Rattus norvegicus: one gene and its partners. The protein of the gene in region 3 interacts with the protein of the main gene of each other region in a biochemical or structural test. Links are inferred from orthologs where the notes say so. Each region holds a gene or a part of one and is shown on either strand. Other genes may lie near its edges.

The links.
Region 1: of the proteins of Cdk2 (region 3) and H1f0, one has a biochemical effect on the other in vitro, tested with the Homo sapiens proteins (11 studies listed by BioGRID and IntAct). The link is inferred for Rattus norvegicus from reciprocal best matches to the Homo sapiens genes CDK2 and H1-0.
Region 2: of the proteins of Cdk2 (region 3) and Poll, one has a biochemical effect on the other in vitro, tested with the Homo sapiens proteins (2 studies listed by BioGRID). The link is inferred for Rattus norvegicus from reciprocal best matches to the Homo sapiens genes CDK2 and POLL.
Region 4: of the proteins of Cdk2 (region 3) and Cdc7, one has a biochemical effect on the other in vitro, tested with the Homo sapiens proteins (2 studies listed by BioGRID). The link is inferred for Rattus norvegicus from reciprocal best matches to the Homo sapiens genes CDK2 and CDC7.
Region 5: of the proteins of Cdk2 (region 3) and Mybl2, one has a biochemical effect on the other in vitro, tested with the Homo sapiens proteins (3 studies listed by BioGRID). The link is inferred for Rattus norvegicus from reciprocal best matches to the Homo sapiens genes CDK2 and MYBL2.
Region 6: the proteins of Cdk2 (region 3) and Orc2 form a complex in vitro, tested with the Homo sapiens proteins (2 studies listed by BioGRID and IntAct, with this or other methods). The link is inferred for Rattus norvegicus from reciprocal best matches to the Homo sapiens genes CDK2 and ORC2.
Region 7: the proteins of Cdk2 (region 3) and Mcm3 form a complex in vitro, tested with the Homo sapiens proteins (2 studies listed by BioGRID and IntAct, with this or other methods). The link is inferred for Rattus norvegicus from reciprocal best matches to the Homo sapiens genes CDK2 and MCM3.

What each region holds. Positions count from the first base shown.
Region 1 is NC_086025.1:112,472,128-112,475,640, reverse strand, and holds H1f0 (histone H1.0), read right to left. Parts: upstream 2,362-3,513; 5' UTR 2,221-2,361; coding exon 1,636-2,220; 3' UTR 501-1,635; downstream 1-500. UniProt on the Homo sapiens protein: Histones H1 are necessary for the condensation of nucleosome chains into higher-order structures. The histones H1.0 are found in cells that are in terminal stages of differentiation or that have low rates of cell division.
Region 2 is NC_086019.1:254,354,890-254,358,942, forward strand, and holds the start of Poll (DNA polymerase lambda), read right to left. Parts: upstream 2,801-4,053; 5' UTR 2,781-2,800; intron 2,005-2,780; 5' UTR 1,980-2,004; coding exon 1,868-1,979; intron 1,120-1,867; coding exon 825-1,119; intron 636-824; coding exon 476-635; intron 188-475; coding exon 1-187. Other genes in the region: protein DPCD, read left to right, coding at 2,941-3,004.
Region 3 is NC_086025.1:1,719,079-1,723,286, reverse strand, and holds the start of Cdk2 (cyclin-dependent kinase 2), read left to right. Parts: upstream 1-1,408; 5' UTR 1,409-1,558; coding exon 1,559-1,674; intron 1,675-1,736; exon of another isoform or gene 1,737-1,953; intron 1,954-2,370; coding exon 2,371-2,448; intron 2,449-2,546; coding exon 2,547-2,667; intron 2,668-3,817; coding exon 3,818-3,988; intron 3,989-4,208. Other genes in the region: melanocyte protein Pmel 17 precursor, read right to left, coding at 1-16. UniProt on the Homo sapiens protein: Serine/threonine-protein kinase involved in the control of the cell cycle; essential for meiosis, but dispensable for mitosis. Phosphorylates CABLES1, CTNNB1, CDK2AP2, ERCC6, NBN, USP37, p53/TP53, NPM1, CDK7, RB1, BRCA2, MYC, NPAT, EZH2.
Region 4 is NC_086032.1:2,959,657-2,963,156, reverse strand, and holds part of Cdc7 (cell division cycle 7-related protein kinase), read left to right. Parts: intron 1-2,095; coding exon 2,096-2,189; intron 2,190-2,272; coding exon 2,273-2,415; intron 2,416-3,122; coding exon 3,123-3,372; intron 3,373-3,500. UniProt on the Homo sapiens protein: Kinase involved in initiation of DNA replication. Phosphorylates critical substrates that regulate the G1/S phase transition and initiation of DNA replication, such as MCM proteins and CLASPIN.
Region 5 is NC_086021.1:172,145,305-172,148,804, reverse strand, and holds part of Mybl2 (myb-related protein B), read right to left. Parts: intron 1,836-3,500; coding exon of another isoform or gene 1,833-1,835; coding exon 1,733-1,832; intron 293-1,732; coding exon 179-292; intron 1-178. UniProt on the Homo sapiens protein: Transcription factor involved in the regulation of cell survival, proliferation, and differentiation. Transactivates the expression of the CLU gene.
Region 6 is NC_086027.1:67,506,150-67,509,649, forward strand, and holds part of Orc2 (origin recognition complex subunit 2), read right to left. Parts: intron 3,175-3,500; coding exon 3,076-3,174; intron 519-3,075; coding exon 409-518; intron 1-408. UniProt on the Homo sapiens protein: Component of the origin recognition complex (ORC) that binds origins of replication. DNA-binding is ATP-dependent. The specific DNA sequences that define origins of replication have not been identified yet.
Region 7 is NC_086027.1:30,730,947-30,735,180, reverse strand, and holds the start of Mcm3 (DNA replication licensing factor MCM3), read left to right. Parts: upstream 1-1,434; 5' UTR 1,435-1,525; coding exon 1,526-1,603; intron 1,604-3,586; coding exon 3,587-3,699; intron 3,700-4,093; coding exon 4,094-4,234. UniProt on the Homo sapiens protein: Acts as a component of the MCM2-7 complex (MCM complex) which is the replicative helicase essential for 'once per cell cycle' DNA replication initiation and elongation in eukaryotic cells.

The DNA of each region.
Region 1 (3,513 bases), about 110 Mb from region 3:
TGAGCCAGCGCTGAGTGAGCACGGCGGCCGGGGGACAGCGCCGCGCGCCACAAGAAGTTGACCCACATCGCGCCCACGGACTGAAGTGTGCCGGCCAGCCTGCCGCCTAGAGCTCCCCGTCACGAGGTGTGGGCAGGGCCCAGGCAGCCAATCAGAACAACAGGAGCTTACTTTAACTGGATGGTTAACCCCACCCGCAGGCGGAGCCTGACAGCGTTTGCCCGCGACGCAAAGATTGATTTGTAAGTCGAGACTGGGAAGGTCCGCGCTGGGGAAGCTGAGTAGGGGGAGAAAAGCGACTTCAATGCCTCTCCTTCTTAGAGCCTACCAACACACCTCTCCCAAAGACCCACCTACGTGCTCAGCGGACCTGCTTGAGCATTCCGGTCCCTCCAAAGCTTTGCTGTTCTCTAGCGCGAACGTGGCACCACCAGCTCTCCCCACATTGCCCGTCAGATTGCTCCTCTCTTCTCCAGTTAAAGAAAAATGCACCACTCAGATTTTTTTCCTTTCCAGTTTTATTTTAAAGTTTTAAAATTACAACCACAGTAATTTTTTCCCGGCACTAGTTACACTTGTTTAAAAAGTGGGGTAGGGTACCCGAGTTTCCTACTTTATTAAAATAAGAGGACAACTGTACAGAGTTTTTCTCCCAGCTCCCGAGGTGAGACTAAGTACTAGTCTTAGATATGGATATATACATATACACACATGCACACAATCCCGCTTCTCTAAAGCTACCTAGCAAATTCGAATCCACGGGAGTATATCCCACAGTCCACTCCCTGCCTCTCCCCCTCCTCGGCTACTTAGAAAAGACTCAAAAGCTTGGAGGGGTTTTAAGTGGCAGCTGGTAGAACTGAAGTGGCACCAAGCAATGCCACATCTTACACAGGAAGAGGGGAAAGGAAACGAACAACGTCCTCCTAGGACACAATCCATCAACCGTGTGGAAAAACCCAAGTTTCCATAGGCACACTGAGGCACTTGGCTGACTCTGCACCCCTCCCCCTAAGTCCACTCCCATTTAACCAGAGACTGCTGAGAAGACCCTTCCTTCCCAATGGCTAAATCCCGGTTGTGAGAAGCTATGGCTTCTCTAACCAGCTGTCACTTGGAGAGGCACTAGGGCAGAAGAGAAAAAGAAATCAGGTCCCCCAACTTACCACCATTGGTAGGGCAGCCCAGGGAGTTTATCCTCTTCTCCCCCACAACCCCCCTTGGCCAGGTAGATGGGGTATCACCTGCTCATCAAAGGTTCTGAAACGCTCACTAGGGACAAGCAACCTAGTTCCTGGGTCCTCACCTACCCAGAACTTTGCCAGTTCCATTTACCTTCATAGTAAACAAACCACCGAAGGAAACACACAACGCCCCCCCCCCCCACAACCCCGTAAGGTTAATATCAAATCAAGAAAAAAGTACATCTCCATCATTATAAAGATGAGGTCTGTTTGCTGTCCTTGAACAATGGGTTAAGGAAAATATTCCACAAAGTCTGTCTGAGGAAGCCAAACTCTGTCCTCTATAGAGTCCAAATAGAATGGGCAAAGGGTTGCAGATGGGATCAAGAGAGAAATGTATTTACAGAAAACAGGAGGGAGGAAGGAGTGTCCCCAAGCAAAGCCTTCATTGTCATTTCTTCTTGCTGGCTCTCTTGGCACTCGACTTGGCTTTGGGCTTCACGGGTTTGGCCTTCTTGGGTTTGGATGCCTTGACTGGCTTGACTTTGACAATCTTGGGCTTTTTGGCTTTCTTGGGCGTGGCAGCCGGCTTCTTCTTGGCCTTCTTGACCGGGGTGGCTTTGGGTTTCTTGCTTGGGGCTTTGGAAGCAGCCTTCTTGGGCTTGGCTGCCTTCTTTGGAGTGGCCACTTTCTTGACTTCCTTCTTGGTCTTCTTGAAAGCCACCGACCTCTTGGGCTCATCGCCCTTGGCCAGCCTGAAGGACCCCGAGGCGCCCACCCCTTTGGTTTGCTTGAGAACACCGGTGGTCACTAGGCGCTTGATGGACAACTTGATCTGGGAGTCGGCGTTCTCACCCACCTTGTAGTGGCTCTTGATATACTTTTGGATGGACTGGCGCGAGGAGCCGGCGCGGTTCTTCTCTGCCTGGATGGCAGCCACGATCATGTCTGAATACTTGGGGTGGTCCGTGGACTTCTTGGCGGCCTTGGCCCGCTTGGGCTTCGCCGCCGGGGTGGAGGTGGAGTTCTCGGTCATGGTGGCCGGCCTGCTCCGGCTGTTCAAGGAGCCTTCCAAAGGGCCAGCCTTCGCCGGAGGCTGTGCAGAACCTGACTCGCGATCTGTTCTTCCGCTCCACTAGCAGGCCAGACTAAAGTGTGGCTGCCGGGGACACGGAAGACGCGTGGCTCCTGTCCTCCCGGCGCGGGTCGCGAGCTGCTCTGCGCGCCCAGCCCCCAGTGTTCCGTCGCTCTCCCGGCGCCTGGCGCTGCCTCCGCCTCCGCCTCCACGGCCTCCCTTTTCCCAGTTCTGCGTCTGGCGCTCGGGCGGCGCATCCGGGTATTTAGCGGCGGCGGGCGGACCGCGGTGAGGACTGGGCTGCTGGCTGCCTGCTCCCGGCCCGGAATGGCGCCGCGCTGCCGCCATCTGTGTTTCTTCCGCCGAGCAAACTCGACCTTTCCCAGCGGCCCGGGCCCTCCCGCTGCCCGCCGTCTCTCAGGGTCTCTGCTCGGCTCCCTAGGCTTCCCCGCTGGGGACCCTGGCGCCCCGGCCGCCGCCCCCCGCGCCCGCCACAAGCCCCAAACGGCGCCGAGGAGCGCTGGGGCACCGGCACATTTCCCCTTTGCGGGGGACTGGCTCTGCGGAGGCGGGGAGCCCCGGGACTTGAGACCCCCCGTAGGAAAGCTCTCCCCTGGGACTACCAGGGACCCCACTCCCGGCTGCCTGCGGGGTCCCCCAACCTGGCGGAGCGGCTCAGAAGCGGCCACAACTAACACACGCGGCCCTGAGCTGGGCGACTCCCAACCGGGCCGAGTCGGGACAAGGGGGGAGGGGTCGCCTCCCCGGGGTCCGGTCACCTCTCGGGGGTCACCGGACCACAGCTCCCCTGACACCCCTACCCCCTCTTTGCCTGCGGGGACCTCAAGGAAACTTTCCCAGGAAGAGTTGGAAGGGCACTTTCAAACTTTGTCCCTTCCCCCTCTTGAGTCTCCTCTCCCCTCGATGCACCCCCGGACCTCCGCGAGGAGATTGCTCCCTAAGCCCGAGCCCCCCAAAGCTTCCTGAGACCCCTGGGAGATGCGGACCGGCCTCCCGGGTGGACTGCTCTCCTCAAAGACCCCCCCACATCTTCCATATACCTGAGTATAAGAGTTCATTTACATGCCTTGCTAGCTTGGGAGTTTTGGGGGTGTGAGAAGCAGGACGCCGAGGCCCACCCTGGGGGGGGAAGGTCCCCTCTCCCACTGCCTTTTCAAGGTGGGGTGTGCCTTGATGGGGGGTGCAGTCTATATCATAGGTGCTGCCCCATGGCTCTGAGCAAACTGCCCTGGG
Region 2 (4,053 bases), on a different chromosome or scaffold from region 3:
GGTTGTAATTAGTTGCCTTCTGGCTTGAGGGCTGTGCACAGACCCACTTACCCAGAGCTTCTGGGGCTGGGTCAGGCCCACCATCTTCCCCAGGGGGAGTGGGGTAGTGCCCACTGATCAAGGCTTGCAAATCTGCTGAGCTAACCTGGGGCCCTTCCCCATCACTGGCTTCATCCTCTGAGCTGAGCTGCGAACAGAAGAACACAATAAATCTGGGCCCTCCTCAGAAGAGAGAGTTGTCTGGTGGGTAGGTGTCTCCTGCTTTGACTGGAGGAAAAGGTTCCAAGGGGCTCCTCTAGAACCCAGCCCTGGGCTTCCCCGTGGTATATGGCAGACATAACTTGGTGAACGCAGGACTGATAAGTGTTGGGAAGAGACAGACAGGTGCACAATCAAGAGATACCTAGAATTTTCTGTATAAAATCCAGGCCCTTCCGTTTCTGTGATCAGCACCCTGAGTTGGAAGGCTCCTCACCTGGGTTTGGGTTTTTGGTGGCTTTTCTGCCTTTGGGGGAGGAGATACAGCTCTGGTACAAGGAGGGGAAAGAGAGAGCGTTGTCCTGGGTAGAACCCCCTGAGTGCCAGGAGCAGAAGCATCTTGGCCTGACTTGCTGGGCTGTGGTTCATTCAAGGACCTAGAGGGCAGGGGGAGGTCACAGGCAGTTAGAATATCAAACGTCTCACCTGCCTCTGTCCCCAGTCTTCCTCTACACTGAAACCTTGGTATGTCCAACTTAAAAAGTAGGAGTTGTTTTTTTAATAACTCAATGGAAACTCAAATGTTATTATCAACAAACACCTGAGAAAGGCTAAGGGCAGCCGACCTCTTAGGGCTGGAAAGGCTGAATCCGTCCGTGTCTGTCAGCTTTTTCTCCTGTAGACACAAGCTCAGCCAGGCTGACTTCACCAGCTGAGCACCAGGGGGCAGCTGGGGCAGTCTGAGGAGCCGGAGAGCCCGTTCATAGTCCATGCCTTCATCCACCACAATGTGAGTGACTCCTGGGGCCTGGGCAGAGCACACCTGGCCACCATGCTGGATAATCTGCTTCTCAAAGAGTTCAGCCCGGGCTCGCCCAATGCCAGTGGGCATAATGTGGGCCCTCAGGGAGCTCAGCCATCCTGGGAAGAGGATACGCAAATGCTATTACCATTATATAATAATAATAATAATAATAATAATAATAATAATAATATTATTATTATTATTATTGCACTATTATTTGAGACAGGGTCTCATGTAGCCTAGGCTAGCTCAAACTCACTATGTTGCAGAGGATAACCTTGAGTTTCTGATTCATTCTGCCTCTCCAAGTGCTGGAATTACAGGTTGTACGTCAGTGAGTTGAGAAAGTTTTAGATATAACGAATTGTTTGAAGTCACCTCCCTTCATTTTCCTGCCATCCAGTGAACAAAATGCCTTCAAGGAATTCTACCACAAACATACAGCAAACTTCCTTTTTTGTTGTTTTGTTTTGCTTTTCAAGTTTGAAGGCAGCCTGGTCTATAGAGCCAGAGTGCCAGGACAGCCAGGACTACACAGAGAAACCCTGCCTCGGAAAAACAAAAAAACAAACAAAAACAAAATCAAAGGACAAAGTGCCGGCTGAATGTGGTGCCGCACACCTGTAAGCCTCGCACTTGGCAGTGTCAAGACAGGAGGATCGGGGCTTAAGGTGATTGTCAGCAAGGTCAAGGTTACATTGAGACTCTAAACAAGAGAAAAGGACAGAAACCGAAACTGATACAAGGTATGTACAAAGAGATCTTGGCCCCTCACAGGTAAGGCCATTCCTGCTATCTGATTCTGACTGAAAACAGGAAGGCTGAGAATTCCAGTATATGAGGTCTGGGGGCGGACGGGCTCACCTCTAGCATCTCCTGCCTCCCTTTTGGGAATCTTTGCAAGTGCGTTTGATGATGGATCTGCATGAATTTTCTTTCGCTTGGGAAATGCCTTCAGGATGCCCTGGGGGTCCATTGAAGTGCGCTGGATCTGGACCTTTCTGTTTAAGGACAGATGTCATACAGAAAGCCAAGAGCGAGAGCCACCCCTTGACTATTTTGGCATAGAGATGGGACTTGGGGGTACAGACTCCTTTCTCCGAAGTCTCGGAAACCCCAGTTAAACTTAAGTGATTTAATACGAGCGCCACACACACCAGTCTTTCAACCTTAATAGTACTAGGGAAGCCATAGAAAGTCTGGGATTATTGCGGGGATGGGGGTGGGGGGTGGGAGTGGGAGTTGACGGAAGAGAAACAACATTAAGTGGGGGAGGGATACAGCGCAGAATCCGCCTGTGCTTCCGCTCCCAAGGGGCTTTTCCAAAATGATAACGGGCTAGGAATGGGGACTACATCTTTAGGAGGGTCTTCATCTCCCCCAATGAATTGAAGTCTAAAGGACATGTCACATAAAGCTCACATCATCTTTCTCTAGCCTCAATGTACATTAGCAGAAGAAAACCTGGGGAGTGCTGTGTGCGCTGTGCACCTGCCCCTGTCGCAGCCTCCTCGCGCGGGTCTGAGCCCCGCAGCTGCAGGGAGGTGGAGGGCAGCCACAGCAGCTGGAGGGTGCCCTCACAGCTGGAGGTGGGCAAGACCGGAGCAGATGTGCCACTCACTGCACGAGCAGCTGGCACGAACCGGGGACTCCCAGCTGGGGCCAGAAGAGAGCTGGTGCTGGGTCCCTCAAAGCTCTAGGAGCATCCCCACTCCACCCGGCCCCAGGACCGGTCCAAAGTAGGCCAGAATCTCCCGGCAAAGAGAAATAAACTCACCATGGGAGCCAATGAAAACGGATTGGGGGAGGAGGAGGATTGAAAAAGGGGGAAAAAAAAAAAAATCTGTTCCCAGAATACTTCCCGGGTCATCCGGAAGTGATCATCGGTCGGGTAGTTGCCATGGCAGTGGCCAGGCGCGTTGCTGGGCGGAGGGAAGATGGCGGTGACTAGCTGGCTGGAGATTTTGCGGTCGGCCGAGAAGACGGCACTGCTGCAGGATGGTAACTCGAGCCCCCTCGTTCTTCACCCCTAGGGCGGGCTCTATGAGTCCGCTCGCCCAGGGAGGGCCTCAGCCTCAGCCTGGGTGGGCAGAGGTGGAAATGTCGCAGCAGCCATCAGCCATGCTTGCTTCCTGCTTTTGCAGAGGAAATAGGCCCAGGGAAATGACCCGAGTGGAACCCAAGTCTTTGGTCACCCACCTCAAGAGTTCTTTATACCATCCCATCCCCGCTGAGACTTTTGTTGGTATTTGTTCCCAATAATTTCATTGTACATTCATCATCGTTCCTCAGGGCTGTACCACAAGGAAACTGAAATTCAGGAAGGTTTTAGACCAAACCCAGGTTTTGCAGATAATCAGGTATAGTTCATGACCTGGAACCCCATGCACCTCAGTTTGGGGGTCCTATTGATGGCAGCCTAGTGGCATAGAAAGGAGAGGCACCAGGGTTTTAGGTCAACTGTACTATTCATTTACCATGGCCTCTTAAATTGTTAGGACCCCATTTTCTTCTATTATAAAATGAAGTGGGTGGGCTGCTACCGTTGTTTCTAAGGTCCTTTCCAACTGTGCTTTGTTTATGATGTGGATTTCACATTGTTCCTTGATCTTTAGGGGAGATAGAACGAGGGCTACGGTCTAAATGACTAGGAACAGGAGTTTGATATGTCAGCTTTTCCAGCAACTGGCCAGTTTAAGTCCCCTGTGCCCCAGAGGTCTTTCACGGACCCACTTGGCAGCCAGGATGACTTGGGTCTGAATTCCTGAGTCTTTAAAGCTAACAGCTAGGGACTTAACATCCACAGGCAGATGCCTAAAGTTTATGGAAATTAAAGTCAGTTTCATTTGCTCCTACCTACAACATTTAGGGAGCCCATTACCGTAATGTACCAAATTCTGTGCCAGGCAGATAGAAAACAACCAACCAGCCAACCATGGTTTATGGTCTCCTGGACCATCGAATGATCAAGAAAAAAATACGTAATCAATTTGTGTTAAATAGAGGTTGGAATCTTAGAAAGGCAAAGAAAGCCCATGCTTGCCATCTCT
Region 3 (4,208 bases):
TTCTCTGGACACCCATACTGGTCCTCCTTTCAGCAGCCAAAGGTACCAGGGGGTGAGAATGAGCCCCTATATAGAAGGGGATGCTCATTTGCATAGGCCTTCCTCCTCTCCCTCCAGAGGAGGGGAAACCTGGGAAGAAGGAAAGGGCCGGAACTGATTTCATCCCATTGCTCCAATGACAGTGTCTGGTTTCACTGGGTCACATTCACTGACACACACTTATTCTGGAAAGAGTTCGCTGATGGGCAGCCGCAATTCATATACTTCACAGTCACAGTTCAGCAAGGCAGAGTCAAGAGAATTGAGTCAAACCAAAGAGTTCCTTAAGACAGAAACAGCACCTTTATCCAAAAGCAGCCAGAAGGGGCTGGGAGTGTAGATTGCCAGCAATGAAACAACACAAGCAGCCAATGAACCCCGAAACAGTGAGACAGTATTAAGCTAGGCTGAGAAACGACTCTGTTATCTAGCCAAAGAATCCTTTACAATAAGAGTCCCGATTGATTTTCCAGCCTGGCCTACAGAGCGAGTTCCAGGACAGCCAAGATTACACAGAGAAACCTTGTCTGGGAAAAAGAAAAGAAAGAAAAAGGAGGGAAGGAGGGAGGGAGAGAGGGAGGGAGAGGGAGGGAGGGAGGGGAAGAGGGGGAGGGAGAGGGAGGGAGGGAGGGAGAGGGAGAGGGAGAGGGAGAGGGAGAGAGAGAGAGAGAGAGAGAGAGAGAGAGAGAGAGAGAGAGAGAGAGAGATTGAATTCGTGTTCCACATGGCCTCACCCGGGAAACCGAGCCAAACGGATCTCTGTGAGTTTGAAGACAACGTGGACTTTTGAACGCATTCCAGCCAACAAGGGCTGCATTATGAGATGTTTCAGAAAAGCAGGTGGGAGTGCTGGAGAAACGGCACCTCTGTTGAAAGCACAAGCTGCTCTTGCAGAAGACCAGAGTTCGCCCAGGACCTCAGCTCCCGGGGATCTGCTGTTTCCGTGAAAACCTACAGATACGCAAACACACACCTAATTTAAAATACGTATTTTTTTCTTTTAAAGATTCCCAGGTTTAGTTTTTTAAAAGAGACTTTCTTGGCCAGGTGGAATTTAATCTCACCCAAGGGATGGTGAAAATTGTGAGGGAAAGGTAAGAAAAATCCGTAGACCAGAAACAACACCAGTTCTGGCCCGCGGAACCTAAACCAGGAACTAGGGGAAAGTTGCGCCTCGGCCCCTCCGCTCGCCTGCCGGGGGCGGGGCCTCTGAGGCGGGAGCGCGGGGTCCGGTCCGCCCTCGTGACGTGAACCAATCGGAAGGACGGGGGGCGGGGCCAGGGAAACGCGGGAAGGAGGGGCGGGGCCTCGGATGGCAGGCTGGAGCAGTGGGGGAGGCGGCAACATTGTTTCAAGTTGGACAAATTGTCAAGAGCTGAGCTCTGCTTGCGTTCCATCCCGAGCTAGGGCTGCCGTGCTCACCCGGGCCCCCAGGTCCTCCGCTCCGAGTGTCCGGCCCGCTTTCGTCAGGGTTCCCGGGCCCCGCTCCCGGGGGCCTGAGCCGCCTCACTAGCGCTCCATGGAGAACTTCCAAAAGGTGGAGAAGATTGGAGAGGGCACGTACGGAGTGGTGTACAAAGCCAAAAACAAGTTGACGGGAGAAGTTGTGGCGCTTAAGAAAATCCGGCTCGACACGTGAGTGGCCTCCGAAGCCGGAACTCCTTTGCCCGGACCTCTTGGCTGCCCCCCCCCCCAACCCCTTACCCAAACAGGCGGGTAGCCTCCCGGGACCGGAAGGTGGCGGGGAGGGACTCCTGAAGCGAGCGGTGGGTTGGCGGACGGTGGACGCTCTCCCGGAGGAGACTGTCCGGGGCTAGAATTCAGGGGAAAGTTTCTTGTCGTGCTCCTCCCGGTGTGCTCCCAGATCTGCAAGCCGAGAGACTTGGGAAGAGAAAGTGGGAGGTGGGAGCTGAGGTAGGATCCAGGGCTGTTCATGGAGTTGGGTTATGTGGGAACCAGAGAAAAGCTCCTTTCTGAGTGGAGAGCTCTTCTCACTACTCCAGCACCATACTTAGAACCCTCACCCTCTTTCAAAAGAATGGCAGTTGAGATTCACTGGTTCTCTGGGGAGGCTGGGAGCTACTCTCAACCCCCTCCGCTATTACCTTTCCTCTGCTTTTTATTCACCTGGAGGCTTCCCTTATCTTCCACTGGAAAAAGAGGAAATAATGACCTTGAATATTGTCTAAAAGCCACACCCTGACTACCCAGGAATTAACCCCTGACAACACCTTTCCTTTCTGACTTCCTAATGGGTTTGGGGGTTGTGTATCCCTGAAAGAATAATGTTTGTAACCGTCTTCCCGCCTCTGTTTCCCCAACCTCTCCAAGTGAGACTGAAGGTGTGCCCAGTACTGCCATCCGAGAGATCTCCCTCCTTAAGGAGCTCAATCACCCTAACATCGTCAAGTAAGTCTACTCTGAGGGATGATCCCCAAGATGAATTCTGTTTGCTTGGCCTCACAATTTCTCTCCCTCAACTCTGGTTCCTGGAACTTCCCTTGCAGGCTGCTGGATGTCATCCACACAGAAAATAAGCTTTATCTGGTGTTTGAATTCCTGCACCAGGACCTCAAGAAGTTTATGGATGCTTCTGCTCTCACTGGCATTCCTCTTCCCCTCATCAAGGTAATCCTGCTCAAGTCTAGCCTACACGCTTTAGGGGAAACTAGAAGCAGGTAATTCGGACTAGTAATGATTTATTTTGGCTTTTTTTCCCCTCAGACTTCTGACTTTAACACACTCCCCCCTTTCCTGTCATTAGTCATTAACCCTAGAATGGACAGAAGAATCCAAATTGAGCTCCTGTGAACCAACCAAGGCAGCTCAGGCAGGAAGGAGATCAGATAACACTCAGATACAGGAGATTGAGGGTAGATGAGTTCCTTGAAATAAATTCTCCCACCTGTGGTGTGGGAAAAACTAATCAGTGAGTCTCTGTGGTCTGTTTTCAAGCTAGGCTGGATCCTGGAAGCACTTTGAATGTATCAGCAAGTACCTACTCAACACATAGTCACTTAACACCTTCAGTGTTGCTAGACACGGGGGTTGAAAAAAGGGATGCAAAAGTTGAGTAGTATCTGGTCTATATCCTTGCCAGGCTGAAAATTCAGTGAAAGACATCGCTATTAAAGGTGTGGTTATGCTGTAGTTGTGTGTGTTGGTTTGTGTCTGTAATCCTAACACTTGGGAGGCTGAGGCAGTAGGATGTAAGTACAAGGGCAGCCAAGCTACAAAGTTCCAGGCCAGAAAGACAGTATCTTTAAAAACAAGCAGGACTGACAAGATAGCTCAGTGGTGAAAGCGCCTGCCTCCAAGCCTAATGACTTGACGGCCTGAACTCCATCCCTAGGTCCCACACAAGAAGAAAAGGAGCTCCTGCAAGTTGTCCTCTGACTTCTACACATGCACTGTGGCATGCCCCTGCCCCCATAAATAAACAAACAAATAAAATGTAACTAAAGAATTAAAGAACCCCTCCCCAAGTATATGGTATAGTTCTTGTGCAGCATATTGAATTTTTTTTAAAGATTTATTTATTTATTATATATAAGTATACTGTCGCTGTCTTCAGACACACCAGAAGAGGGCATCAGATCTCATTACAGATGCTTGTGAGCCACCATATGGTTGCTGGGATTTGAACTCAGGACCTCTGGAAGATCAACCAGTGCTCTTAGCTCCTGAGCCATCTCTCCAGCCCAGCATATTGAATTTTGAGGATAAAGAATAAGTCATATCTGTTTGATGAAACAAACCTCCCTCTCTCCTTTGTCAGAGCTATCTGTTCCAGCTGCTCCAGGGCCTAGCATTCTGCCATTCTCACCGTGTCCTGCACCGAGACCTTAAGCCCCAGAACCTGCTTATCAACGCAGAGGGGTCCATCAAGCTGGCTGACTTTGGACTAGCAAGAGCCTTTGGAGTCCCTGTCCGTACTTACACTCATGAGGTAAGTCCCTTTATGGTTTTCCTTAAGGATCTTGGGAGATGGGGCTGGAGAGATGGCTTAGTGGTTAGGAGCACTGACTGCTCTTTCAGAGGTCCTGAGTTCGATTCCCAGCAACCACATGGTGGCTCACAACCATCTGTAATGAGATCCGATGCCCTCTTCTGGTGTGTCTGAACAGAGTACTCATATACATTAAATAAATAAATTTTTTTTTAAAAAA
Region 4 (3,500 bases), on a different chromosome or scaffold from region 3:
CTTCTCTGGCCAGAAGATAACCATCCCAGTAAATGTTCTTGTCTGCCCGTGTGCAAAAGATACCACCATTTATCTCCTCAGTTGCTCAAGCCAAACATGGATATGTCATATCATCCAGACACGAATGTATCATCCTTCATACATGTATTTATTGTCCTCCACATCTTCATTTTACTCCTAAATGGTGCCTGTCATCAAGTACATAAAAATTTATCCAAATCTGGCTTGCCTCTAATTCCAACAGCTGGGAGGCCAAGGCAGGAGGATTGCATGAGTTTTTAGACCAGACTGAGCTATAGTGAGATTATGGACAAAAAACAAACAAGTAAAACAAACCCAAAATATCTTTTTTCCCCTGCAAGTTGGTTTCACACTTTGAAAAATGTCATGGTTAATGTGTTTTTAACTGGACAGGATCTGGAATAATCTAGAGACAAGGCTGTGAGGGATTATTTAGATTCTAGATAGTTTCTGAGGCTTTGAGGGATTATCTTGGTTAGGTTATTTGGTGAGAGAAGACCCATTTTAACTGGGCAGGATCATTCCCTGGAGGGGTCCTGGACTATGTAAACAGGAGAAGGTTTCTGCTCCCTGTGTGGATGTGATGTGACCGCTGCCCCAGTGCTGCAGCCTTGATGGAACTGGGCACCAGAGTAGACGCTTTCTCCTTAGGTTACTTTGTTAGTTTTGTTTGGTTTCCATTATGTGAACAGGAAAAGGAAAGGGCTGAGGTCTTCGTGCTTTTAGATGCTTCCTTGTCTGGTTTTCCTACTTTATTGATATCCATGTTCCTTCCTTGTAAAATCCTTTCTTTTACACATAGGTCCAGCACTTTGAGTAAGATGTATGTCTAGAGGAAACTCCTGCATATACACCATAACTCCCACCCCCCTTCCCCTCCCACCCCTCATACTTCCCTCCCAGAGCTGAGGACCGAACCCAGGGCCTTGCATTTGCTAGGCAAGTGCTCTACCACTGAGCTAAATCCCCAACCCCTACACCATACTTTTGTGAACTGTTCTGTGTACCCACTCTACACCCTTTCTCCCTTTAGAAAACAGACAGGCAAAAGAAGACCAGGTATGGTGACATACGCCTTTAATCTCAGGAGTTGGGAGTTAGAGACAGGTGTCTGAGTTCTAGACCAGACTGGTATACAGTGAGTTCCAGAACAGCCAGAACTACATTGAGAGACCCTGTCTCAAAAAACAAAATAAACGCACAAAATACACACACACACACACACACACACACACACACACACACACACACACACACACACACGGTCAGAAACCATAGCACACAGGGCAAAGACTATTAAGAACAAAACAGAACAAAACCCAAACAAAACAATGTGTGTCTATAAAAATGAGTGAAGCCTTTGTTGTTGTGCTGTTGTGTTGGCCGTCTGCTGCTGGGTAGGGCCTGCCTTCCCTGTGGTCAGTACCCCGGAGACTCGGTTGGTTGCATGTGGTTAGTATACCTGTGAGACTCCGTTGGGGAAGGCTAATTTCCTTTGCAAGCAGGTGCCAGTTGCAGGAGAGTCTCCTCGTTAGGGGTGGGAGCCCATATCTTACCCCGCAGTGCTGGACCCCATCTGGTTTGGACTTGTGTGTGCTGCCCCAGCTTCTGTGAATTTATGCATGTTTCAGTATTATATCTGGAAGAGTCTGTTTTCTTGGAGTCATCCATCCCCTCTGGCTCTTAAATTTTCTGCTCTTCCGTATAGCTCTCTGGGCTGACAGAAGAGGTTTGAGGATGTCAGGCTGAGTATTAATAGGTGTAAAATGCTTAGACCAAAGCTTGGCTGGTCATGGAGATGGTCAGGGGGTGTTACTAGGCGTATCGCATCTGCTGATAACTCGTGTTATCTGCAGATATTTCATGTTTGCATTGTTAGAGTGGCCTTGTAGCTGGTGCTATTTTAGTTTGAAAATTTTATCTTTTATATGTCAGTTAAATGCTTATATTCATGAATGTGATTTTGCGTCTTCTAGTAGTGAGTACATGTACATTGCACAACTAATTCTTTTTAAGGCATAAAGTTACGGTGCGTTCGACCTTCCCTCTAAGGTTCATGTGCATTTTCCACCAGGGGGCAGGACAATGTCATGGGAGTGAAGTACTGCTTCAGGAAGAACGACCATGTGGTGATTGCTATGCCCTACCTGGAACATGAGTCTTTTCTGGTAGGTTTTAATCGTTTTTAACTTTAATCAGCTAAATGGTTAAATTGAAACAATTTGTGATGTGGTTCATAACTCTCTTTTAGGACATTTTGAATTCTCTTTCCTTTCAAGAAGTTCGAGAATATATGTTCAACCTTTTCGTAGCTCTGAAGCGGATTCACCAGTTTGGCATTGTTCACCGTGATGTGAAGCCCAGTAACTTTTTATACAATAGACGCCTGAAAAAGTGAGTGCCAAGAGTCCAGGAAGCGCTGGCATCGGGTTCACGCTGCGGAGCCCATCTCTGAGACGCAGTGTTCTCAGTGTGACTGGGGAGGGGGAATGGAATGAAGAAAGTGAGATTGTGTTAGGAACATGATGCGCATCCTGAGAGACGAACTTAGGTGGAAGGAATTGGAGCCTGGCCTGTTTTGACCTTTGACCTTGTTTTTATTTTTGTTTTAATGAGAATGTTGGATCACATAATCCATTTTCTGTGTGAAAACCAAAGTTATTACATGAGTATTTTTGTTGATTCTATATGGACACGACCTTATAAATATCATACTTAGGTATGGTAAGGACTTAAAAGTATTCACTGGCCCTTGTTTAGTTAGAAATTTTCTGCTGTTGCGCCATCTTCCCTGCTACAAGGCAGGGTTCTGTCGTTTGTCTCTGCTGAGTCCTCTTCTGCTAAGTCCTCTTCTGCCTCGTCTTGGTGCAGGCCAGGGAGCAGCAGACAGCACTCGGCCGGTTGGTTCAAGGACACAGCTTTAATGTCCAGCCTTAGCTATTAAGTTCTTGGGAATTTTTAGTTTTTCTTTTTTTAAAGAATATTATACATTCTTAATTGTTCTAGAATGAAGTATAGTTTTGGATGTGATTTGACAACATCACAATGTTATTAAGATTGAATCTCTCTAGGAGGGTGATAATACTCGATTTGCTTCTAAGGTATGCCTTGGTGGACTTCGGTTTGGCCCAAGGAACCCGTGACACAAAGATAGAGCTGCTCAAGTTTGTCCAGTCTGAAGCTCAGCAGGAAGATTGTTCACGAAACAAATGTCATGGAGTCATTGGACACAAGGGCCCACTGAGTCGCCCAGCACCTAAAAATGTGGATCAGCACATCACCACAAAAACTTCTGTCAAAAGATCCTATGCAAACGCACAGATTCACATTAAGCAAGGAAAAGACGGAAAGGTTCTACCTTTTACATTTTCAATAAGAACGATTTAGGAATGTTTCCCATCAACCAACAGAGGGAGACCTAATACTAGGAGAGCACTTAGGGTTAAGAAGCCTTTGCAAACCTACATTACATGTTTTAG
Region 5 (3,500 bases), on a different chromosome or scaffold from region 3:
TCACAACGCTGGAAGAAAGGCTGCATCATTCACAGTACGGAAGGACCCAGGTGAGAAGCCAGGGCCCTCTCTGGAAGGAGCAGTCACGTAAGGCACTTATGGGTCCTCCAGCCCTCAGGTCTGGCTTTCTATGTGAACTGCCCAGGCAGAGCTGAGGGTCAAGCCCACAGCCACTCACCCCAGGCTTTCTCTTCTGTTTCTCGGGTCTCATGTCATCCTCAATGATGAGCTCAATGCCAGCCTCGGAACGAAGCACCTCCTTCAAGTCCTCTTCCAGGTGTGGGGTTTGGGGCTGTGGGCAGAGGCGAGGGTGAGCATGGGAGGGCCACTTAGACTGCAGGACGTGTACGTCTAAGAGGTAAGCAGTACAGGCAAGCAGAGAGCTCACGCCAGGACGATGACCTCATGTGCACTGCTCATAACCATGAACTGTCCTGCCTTGGACAAACGGACGAAGACATTAACCCCGAAGGCCTATGGGTTCAGCTCTGCACCCCCATAATGCTGTGTAGCAATTACCATGTCCAGAGTTGAAACTCAGGCTCACACCGAGGGCCCGACCCAAACCATAGCAGTCATTAGAGCTCAGATTCGTGAGCCCAGTCTTCCACCAAGTCCCAGCTCTCATGTGTGGAGGTAGAAGCACCCCTTGAACCCAGGAATTTTAGACAGCACCACCTTCTATGACCTAAGCACCCAAGAGGCCAAGGTGGAGGAATTGGCCCCAGGCAAGTTCAGGGGTGATCTGAGTGTGCTGGTTAGATCTCCATTAACTTGATACAAACTAGAGTCATCTGAGAAGAGGGACCCTCAACTGAGAAATGAGACACCCAGTGAGACTGGGCTATAGGCAAATCTGTGCAGGTATTTTCTCCATTAGAGATTGATGTGGGAGGGCCAAGGGTGGGCTGTGCCCCTCCCTCTTGGGCAGGTGGTCCAGGAGTGTATAAGAAGACAACTCCTCCATGGCCTCTGCATCAGTTCCCTCCTCCAGGTTCCTTCCCTGAGTTCCCTCAGTGATGGACTTTAACTGTAAGTTGTAATAAACCCTATCTTTCTTAGGTTGCTTTTGGTCACAATGTTTTTTACCAAAGCAACAGAAACCTAAGACACTGGGCTTTGTAGACAAGTTACCTCAAAAACTAAAGAACCTACAGCCCCGAAAGCCACGCTCCTTCTGTCTTTGCTCCACACTAACTGGGACACAAGGGTGTCCATTTCCGTTGCTCAGGAGCTCCCTTCCTTCCTCCCCATGTTGTGAAGACTGGCTCTCCATCCGCTTGCCCCAGGAACCCACGTGCTGGATTAGAAGACCACCATACCTGGCTTCCAGCTTTTTCTTAAAAATAGGGTCTCGTGCCAGTTAGGCTAGCCTCAAACTTGCTAGGCAGCAGAGGACGACCTCGAACTTTTGATCTGCCTGCCTCCTCCACCAGCCAGGTACTGGTATTATAGGCGTGTGGCCAGCACCTCTCAACCCTTTCCTTTACAGTAAACTCTTCCGTTTTTTAGATAGCATGCGTTTTAATATCCACATCCCCCATCCAAGTCACCACTACCTCATCAGCCAGCCAGTATCTGCCCGGTGCGCTGAGGGGACTCAGGGCATGTAGATGAGGTGACAAGTGGAAACTGTACTTTGCTAGAATATAGAGACCCCAGAGAAAAAAGGGTTCGTCATCCCATGTTAGATAAACCCAGCCCAGAGACTCACAGCATCCATGCCACATACCAGGGGTTTCAGTGGTCCATATTTCTCCAGAGCATTCTTGAACGGGGTTGGTGTGTGGGGAGTGTTGTCCATGGAATACTTCTGATCTGGGGTTACAAACCTGCTACAGGCCAGAGGCAGCAGCTCAGCAAAGAAGAGCAGATTCACTTTCCAGGTCATGCCCACCGCTTCCCCACAGATACCTTCCCCTACCACAGTGGTCCAATGGTGCCTGCCTGCCTGCCTGCCTGCCTGCCTACCTGCCTGCAAAAGTCTAGGTCAGGGGCCCAGAGCAGCAGCTGTCCTCAAAGAAAGGACAGGAAGAGGGGGGAGGAGGCCAGGACAATACTGGAGAGTGTTGCCCCATCAAAGTACGTATGTGGGACGTCCCAGAAACAGGCAGGCCTGAAAAGACTACACCCTCCCTGTATGCCCTCTCTACAGAACGTGTCGTGAGGTCATGATCTATCTCCACAAGTCCCCTCAATCATCACGGTGGAGACAGAAACGTGGTGAGAACCCATTTGCCACGTTCCCCCGTGTTCTCACTCTACCCCTTCCCAGCTCAAGAGCCACAACTATGCACAAGGGCATGCTTCTACCTTCAAGCTTTGGTGGTTCCTCCCTTGGTCCCTTTCTGCATTTAAAGATACAAGTCAAAGTCTTCTTCTACCTCTGGACAAAATGCAACAAGAACTAGATATTCCCTCTCGGCAGTAGAAGAGATGGCTGAACAGGGGTACTGGGGACATCGGGGAACTGGGGAAAGTGATCCCCCAAAAGAGGGGGGAGTCTATGGCTATTCCAGTTATCCTAGCCACAGAACAGAGAGGGGCCCCCAGGTCGAGCCCAGCAGACACGTGAGCCGAAGAGAGAAAGGGTCCATCCAACACTGGGCAACTAGCTGCCGAGTGCTGACACAGGCAGTGCCTGAGAGGAAGGGCTAGCTGTCACGGTGACATTGTCAGCACAGCAGGCCCTTCAAAGTACTCTCAGCGCCATACTATCCTGTGCAGTCAGGTGAGGAAACCACCTTGGCCCACGTGAGTACGACTCGGAAAAACTAGAGGAAACAGCCCGTACGTGACTCACAGGCCCAGAAGGACACTCTTTCTCACTGGCTACACCAGATGAGCGCTATCCCTTGTTGAGATGGGGGCTCACTGTGCAGCTTTGGTAGGCCTGAAACGTGCTCTGAAGACCAAGCTGCCCTTGAACTCAGAGGTCCAATTGTTCCACAGGCATGCACCACCAAGCCCACCCTGCTCTGTCCCGTCTTAGTAGATCCTTTAAAGGACCCACTTCTTACTACTGACAGCACCGGCCTCTAGTCATCTGCGACTGTGAAGACCAGGCTGTTCTGTGGTTCAGTGTCCCTATTTAAAGGATTCTCGTTTGAATGTAAGAACTTCTCGCAAGGCCTATCATTTCAGACTGAGCAATGGATTAGTAACTTGTTTCTGAAGGCATCTCGATACGTTGTACAATCCCTGAAATGGTTCCTTGGACAGACTGCAATGCTTCACTGAAAACCAACGAACAGGAGCAATGACAGCACCCTCATGGACCCAGAACTCCATTCGCCACCAGAGGAAGTGGACGCCCTTGGACAACCCTCCTCACAGCAGGCTGAGGACAGACACACTGCTGAGCTCTAGGCTCCAGAGTCAGACAGCGCCCAGGGGCACCTTATGGTTCAAACACATCTGATCCACACTTGATGCTTATCGACGGAGGGAAAGATCTGGATTTTTGTGACAGTTGACATTTCTGAGATCATCAAGTTAAA
Region 6 (3,500 bases), on a different chromosome or scaffold from region 3:
GAGACCTAAGCCCTCAAATATGCTGTACAAATGCTCTACCACTGAGCTATACCCCAACCTGAAATCAAATACAGTAACTATGTTTTTTGTTTGGTTAAGGTTGTCTTTTTGTTTTTTGGGTTTTTTTTGAGACCTCAAATTCAGAGATCCATCTGCCTCTGCCTCCCGAGGACTGGAATTAAAGGCATGTGCCACCACCATCCTGGCACTGGTTTTGGGTTTTGAGACAGGGTCTCTCTATGTAGTGCAGGCTGTCCTGGAACTCACTATCAAGACCAGGCTGGCCTTGAACTCACAGAGGTCACCTGCTTCTGCTCCCCAAGAGCTGGGATTTGCCATCACAGCGGGCAAATCATGCTCTAACACAGACACACTTACTGCTCCCTGTGCAGGGTCCCAATAATTTACCGTAACTGTAGTATCCACTTATCAAACAATCTCTCATGCTGTTGATTCAACTGTCCAATTTCAGTAGAAAAGGAAGGCACAAATTTGCTCAGTAAGTTACGCAGAGTTTTCTTTAAAGAAAAGAGAGACAGAAGTTCTTAGTGAAAATAATGACTTAAATCAGGTACGAACATTGAATGTTAATGACTTAAATCAGGTACCAATTGAATGTTAAAAAAAAAGTCATAGATGGCTTAAATACTTGTTTAATTACAAGCTATCTTTAAAAAATAGTAATACGTCTCCAAGCCTAGGAGTCTGGGGCTGCAGCTCACTGCTGGAGTGCTTTCTAGCAAGTGTGAGCTCTGAGCTAAAGTCTGCATAATAGTATCAACATTATAAACAACAACATTCAAAGAAAACCAAGTCTGTAGATTTGAAAAACTTTAAAAAGAGTGATTCAATATTAATTTTCAGAAAACATTAAGGTTCCTTTATAATTTACCGTCAATAATAAACCTGTATTTGCTCCCTTTCAAAAGCCACCTTTCACAAGTGCTGTGTCTTTGGCGTTGTGTTGTGGTGCTGTGGGATGGGTATACAATACAAGGATCTACAACTACCACTGGGAGCTAGTTAAGTCCTCCCCCTCTTAGGCTGCTGTCCCGGTTATTAGTCACAGTGATACAAACTGCACTGTAAGGTAAAAATCTGTAAAGACAGTAGTAATAGAAAACACTCCCAAATTTCAGTCTGGGGAATCAACTATAATCTGAAGATCCCAGAGAAAGCCATTCGCATCTTTACTCTAGTGCTGCCTTGTTGTGGTTTAACAAACACATTGTTTCACTTGTACGCACCAGCACACATGGGCCACATACACATGTATGGATATCACAGAGCAGCTTGAGAACTGAAGGTGGCGGCAGACTTCGTGCTCAGTGTCCTTACCTGCTGGGCCACCTTGCTGACTCACACACTTTCAACACTGAGGGTTACAATCAAAATCCGGATATCAGCTCCTACAGCTTTACTCACAGTTAGGAGAAATAAGACTCATCTTAAGCGCTCATGTCTTTGGACGTCAGAGCAGAGCACAGAAGGCACCACCATCATCCTCAGTCACTTATACTAGGCTGAGGATGTTTACCCGAGCATGAGCTTGGCGCTGTTGTTTTCATCTACACACTTGTACCTGAGTCGTCAATTTTCAGGCGAACCATACTGCACTGTCCATACCCTCTGATTTGCTGCCCTTCCCTTCTGAGTGGATTATAGCTTCCTGACTCCTGACTTATGTTCAGCCACGTCATCTGGTCCGCCACTAGAACAAGGCACAAGATTGCCAGTGTTTACCCAAGGCTGTAGAGGCTATCTGCTTTCCTCCTTAAGTCTCTACCATCATCATACGAATATGCCTCAGCCACCTGACTGGTCCAACAAGTCATGCAGACACGGGCATAGTCTAGACCTGCTAACCTCCCACTAACCCACAGCAGCAGAAGCAAACGGTCATGCTACGTCTGTAACCCCTCCTTCCCTATCATCATCAGGCTCTGAGGGCTCATTTTGCCCTTGGATACACTTAGGTTTCTCTCATGTGGCTTATAAAAGATAAACAGTAGACTATTAGTGCCAGTGCTTTCTTGGAAAACCTTTTCTTCTTTCCTTCCTTCCTTCCTTCCTTCCTTCCTTATTTATTTATTTATTTATTTATTTATATCAGGTGTGTGTGTCCATGTGTGTGTTCATGTGTTTGTTAACAGTGGGATATGTTTCCCAAGTATGTGGAATCCAGAAGTTGGGCATCTTCCTCAAACACTCTCAATCTTTTTTATTTTAATGGGTTTTTTTATGTATATGTATATATGTTTATGCACCCAATGTGTTCATGGCGCCCAGAGGTGGTTGTGAGACAGCTGAGTAGGTGCTGGAAACTGAGGCACGCCTTGTACAGTAAGCAGGTTTACTGTTGAGCTGTCATGTCAGCTAATAACACTCTCTTCTTGCCTTCAAATTATAAACCCAACTGGCCTTTTAGAATTTTGTTTTTTCTTTAATTGTAGAGGGAGGTATATGCAAGTAAGTCGCCCATGGAAGCTAGGAGAGGGTACTGGGTCTTGAACTTTGAAAGACATCACCACTCAGCAGTTGTGTCCTATGTTAGAGGTGTCTGTCAGTCAAAATTCCAACAGAGACAGACATAGTAGACTTTTTGTCAAATGAGGTCATGGGAAAATCCAGCACGGTCACCCTTGCTACTTTACTTCGCCATACAACTTTTCCAAAAAAGCAAGGGAGATATCCTCGACAGCTTTTGCAAAGCCAGTAAGTGAGCAGTTGGGCTGCAGGTTTTGCTATGTAAAGGTCAATATAGGATTACAGCGAGGAACAGAGCAGCAGTTCATGGTTATCAGAACGTTATGACCTTGATAGTTATTCTAAATCCTTAATCTAAATCTAAATCTAAAAAGAAATGAAAGAAAAAGGATAATTATGTCAAACAGAATTCTAATCAGTGTATTATCTATAATTCACGCAGCAATCATTTAATGATGATAGCATATTAGCATGTGTTCTACTTTATCAGGGAAATAATTCCGCTCCTGCTCACTTCTCTCCAAATGTGCTACTGCTGTATTTTCAGGTTACAATAAACAGAATGCTGGCCACACCCTCGCAGCACACCTGGTCCACTCTCGCTCTCCTCAGCTTCTGCAGCGTTCTATCAGACGTTAAGACTTTTGAACTACTGTGGGCTTCAAAATATTCTTCTACCAAGTCACCCTGAAATGAACAAAGAAAAGTGAGGTCTAAGTAATTTCAGATATTTGTACTACATAAAATCTATGTATTAATATTAGTTAACATTGGGCTCAAGAAATTCTCCTGCCTTAGCTTCCCAGACAGCTGGAAAATACATGTGTGTGTCAACATGCCTAACTTAAATACCTTAATGACAGTATTTTAAAAGAAATAGTATACTTTTCAAGGACCAAAGATGATTTAATTCTACCAATAAATGTTAATAACTCTCATAAAGTTATTAACAGAGGCAGGAGGATCTCTGTGAGTTCAAGGCCAGCCTGGTCTACAGAGTGAGTGCCAGGACA
Region 7 (4,234 bases), on a different chromosome or scaffold from region 3:
TATAGAATAGAGTTTATTCAAATCATGGGGAGGGGAGTTAAGAGGGTAGAAGGGCAGAGAAAGTCAGAGAAAGAGAGAGAGAGAGAGAGAGAGAGAGAGAGAGAGAGAGAGAGAGAGAGAGAAGTAGAAAAGGAGAGGAGGAGAGTAGAGGCCGGCCATGAGCACATGGAGAGAAGGGGGGGGAGGGAATGGGGAGAGAAGTGACAAAGAAAAAAGAGGGTAAGAGCAAGAGAGCAAGAGAGGGGCAAGAGGGAGCAAGAGCGTGAGGACGGGGCAAGCAGCCCCTTTTATAGTGTCAGGCATACATGGCTGTCGCCAGGTAACTGTGGGGGTGGAACTTAGACAGAATGCTAACATATGTATGTGTGTCTTCATTTTGAGTCAGACCATAGGGGAGCCATTGACAAAACTCATCTGGACTTATGAAAGGCAGGTGCACGCATGTACCTAATTGTTTTTCCTTCATTTGTTTTGGTGGCTAAACCTAGGGCTCTATATGTCACCCATCAGGCTCCTGCTGAGCTGCATTCCTTGTCTTCTTTTTTATTTTTAAGGAACCATCTGATTTCCTGCTTATCTATCTCATGTCCTTATGAATGCAGGAAGAAATGCCAATCACATATCTCCGTGTCTTCAAGGTTGCGGATCAAGACACAGCCAATCAAGGCGGTACTAAAGGCAATAGCACGATTGATTCAGTGAATAAAATTTGTCTTTATACCATTTCTAATGTGCCATCGACTCTTGGAATACTGGTGATGGCTTACTGGAGAGTTTTGAATTCAGACTTCACATTTTTTTCTTTTTCTTTTTCTTTTTTTTTTTATTTTTCGGAGCTGGGGACCGAACCCAGGGCCTTCCGCTTGCTAGGCAAGTGCTCTACCGCTGAGCTAAATCCCCAACCAGACTTCACATTTTGTATATGAGGAAATGAAGGCTAGAAAAACAAGTGTTTTAAACTTAATAATATGGAGGCTAAAGAGATGGATCCGTGGGTTTCGATTTCCTCTTTCAAAAATACAAGGTGAAGAAAGATTGAGGAAGACACCGGATGTCAACCTCTGTCTTCATATGTACGCGTGCTTATGGGTTACAGACTTGGACTCCTCAGTAAATCCTAACTTCCCATTTGACAAAACTACCTACAGATTTTAAAAAAAGAAAAGAAAAGAAAAGAAAAAAGAAAAAGAAACAAAAGGTGGGGAGGACCACAACTCCCAGAATGCAGTGCTTCCTAGTCTTCCTTGTTGCTCAATGGCTAGGGGGTGGGTTTTGAGCCTCTTTTCTGTGTCATTGGCCAGCCTTCCTATTAGGGCGGAGAAAGCGACCATTTCTCTCCAATCCAAGAACCGAATAAAAGGCTATTGAAGAAGTCAGCCAATTAGAACGCGTCTGTGCTCCCTGCTTCCTCCACCATAAACTTCCGTGGCGGGAAAACTTGGGAAGTTTTCGCGCCAGGGAGGAGTCACACACGTTTTTATTTTTTGCGGGACTCTTTGGTGGCCGGCGATTTCGGGGCAGCGGCATGGCGGGTACCGTAGTGCTGGACGACGTGGAGCTGCGCGAAGCGCAGAGAGACTACTTGGACTTCCTGGACGACGAGGTGAAATTCGGGCTGCGAGCCGGGTGCTGGGGTTCCCGCGGGTGACGGAGTGGCTGATGGGGTCTCTGTTGGTGACCGGGCACGGTGCTGGGGTTCCGCGGGTGCCGGAGCACAGCTAAAGGGGTCCCCGCGGGTGACCTGACCCGGGTGACCGGGCACGGTTCATGGGGTCCCCGCGGGTGACTTGGCCCGGGTGATGAGACACGGCTGATGGGGTTTCCGCGGAGGGCCCAGGCCGCTGATACGTCCTGTTATCTTTTTTTTCTTTTTCCTTCTTCAGACAGACCTCAAGATTTTAAAAGCTACTTTCCTTTCATGTTAATTATACGTACTAGTTTCATTATGAAAACTTCATAAACATATAATGTATTCTGGTCATATTTCTTTCTTTCTCACCACTCCTTTTCATTGCTGCTACTGATCACCCACGCCTAATTACTGTCTTTTTTTTTTTTTTTAAATGAGTCAATGGGTTTTCTCTTGTTTTTTGTTTGTTTGCCGTGTTGTAGATGGTACCCAGGCCTTGTGCTTGCAGTCACCCCCACCTCCACCCCCACCCCTAAACTTGAAAGGAGACTGGTCAGGTGTAAACAGATGAAAGGCCGTCTTAACCCTTCCTTGGAAGGGCTAATGCAACTGGCTCCCAGCCCTCAGATTTAATGACTGATGGGGTGGGGGCGGGACTAACAACTTAGGCTTTCTTTTTGAGAATTCAAAGTGTTTTCTATGCAGGTAAGATGGGGTTTAAGTGTAACCTAAATTTTAAAGGATGTTGAGCCCTGTAAGTTTGTTGATGAAAAGCAGTTTGAATTTTAAGAGTATTTATTTATTTACTAGTCTTTAAGATTTAGGTCATTCTAAGTCCCAGCTAAAATGTAAGCCTATAGGACAACTGTCGATTGTAGTAGCATGTGATAGGGGATGCTGGGCAGGAGGAAAGGTTGTCTGCAGCCATCTACTCCCTGGGCACCATTTGAGATGTGTATCGACATGCTGGCATTCTTGTGTGTAAGTGACATAATTAGTATCCAGTGTCATTTTCGTTGGTGTAGGCTTTAAGTAGCTCCCAAGTTCCAGCTTTGGACTTTTGAATACCTTCATGTTGACTTCCCCTCCACATCCCCCCATCATGAACCCCATTATACATTGAATGCTAACCGGTCCCCAATGCTCTCGTGATAAAGACAACAGGTATGCTTTCCTTGTCCAGAAAGGCCTAGACCTTACCCCATGATAAGGGAAGCCTGCTTTATAACGTAGGGAAGATCATCTTTCAGACAGAAGCATGTCGTACCAGAGGACAAGATAAAGAACACAGAAATGACTGTCCTGCCTTCATGTTATCCGTCCTTAAGTACCTCAAGTTCTTGATACAGCTGCAGACCCCGCTGTTGTGTTTACCTGTCTTCTGAATGACACTTGTCTCCGGCTACCTTCAGGAAAGGCTTGCTCTCACTTGAAGACCCCTCTTTCTACCAGTGTTTACAGGGTCTCACTGTGAACCTATCTGCTCGTTTGCTCTTTTGGTTGTTGCTCTTAAAGCAGTCTTACTCTGTAGCCTAGCTTTAGATTCAGTGGTGATCCTCCTGCCTCAGATGCCTGAGTGTTGGAATTGTAGCGAAGCTCCGTGAGTTCTAAACAGCTTTTCCTCTTTGTGTCTCTCCCTCCCGGCAGCTTTGGAGATCCAAGCTTGCTATCAGTACAACCAAGAACCTGTAGAAAGGGGTCCCTGGGTGTCGTAGGTGACATTGACTTTATGATTCTTAGAGTCTCCTGATAGCTTGTGGGTGAAATCTGAGGCCAGAGAAAATGAAAGGGAGGGACTGAAGAACAGACTTTGTGTTCATCTGGGGTCTAGAGGGCTCCTTTCCAGGGTTGCTTCCGGTCTGAAACACTTTTGAGTTGTAAAGCTGTTTTGATATGTCTTAATTGATTTAATATGTCAAACAGTATGATTTGATCTGTCTTACTCCCGCTTCACAGGAAGACCAAGGAATTTACCAGAATAAAGTTCGGGAGCTGATCAGTGACAACCAGTATCGGCTGATTGTCAATGTGAATGACCTGCGCAGGAAAAATGAAAAGAGGGCTAACCGGTGAGCCGTGACCGGGTTTCCAGGGGTTCCACTGCCTGTGAGGGACAAAGGAAGGCATCATGTTTAGATTGGGACAGGCTTTCCTGGGAAAGACCTAGACTGCATGGACCTGACGTCCACACATGGAGGCTATCCTCTCCCAGAGAGGAGGTGGTAGCGTTTCGATCCCAGGTGCTCCCGTCTCCCAGTGTTTTGCTGAGCATCATTTCTTATATCTTTGATGAACTGATGTCAACTTCGGTTCTGACGTATTTTACCAAGTCTTTCACAGTGGTAGGACAAAGCAGACGTGGGTTTTCTTCACCGATCATAATGACCCAAGGTGGTTCCTTCTTGTATTGAGGGTCAGTTTCCTGAGCTCTGTCTAATGGGTCTTTGTCTTGACCCCGTGCAGCCTCCTGAACAATGCTTTCGAGGAGCTGGTTGCCTTCCAGCGGGCCTTGAAGGATTTCGTGGCCTCCATTGACGCTACCTATGCCAAGCAGTACGAGGAGTTCTACATAGGCCTAGAGGGCAGCTTCGGCTCAAAGCACGT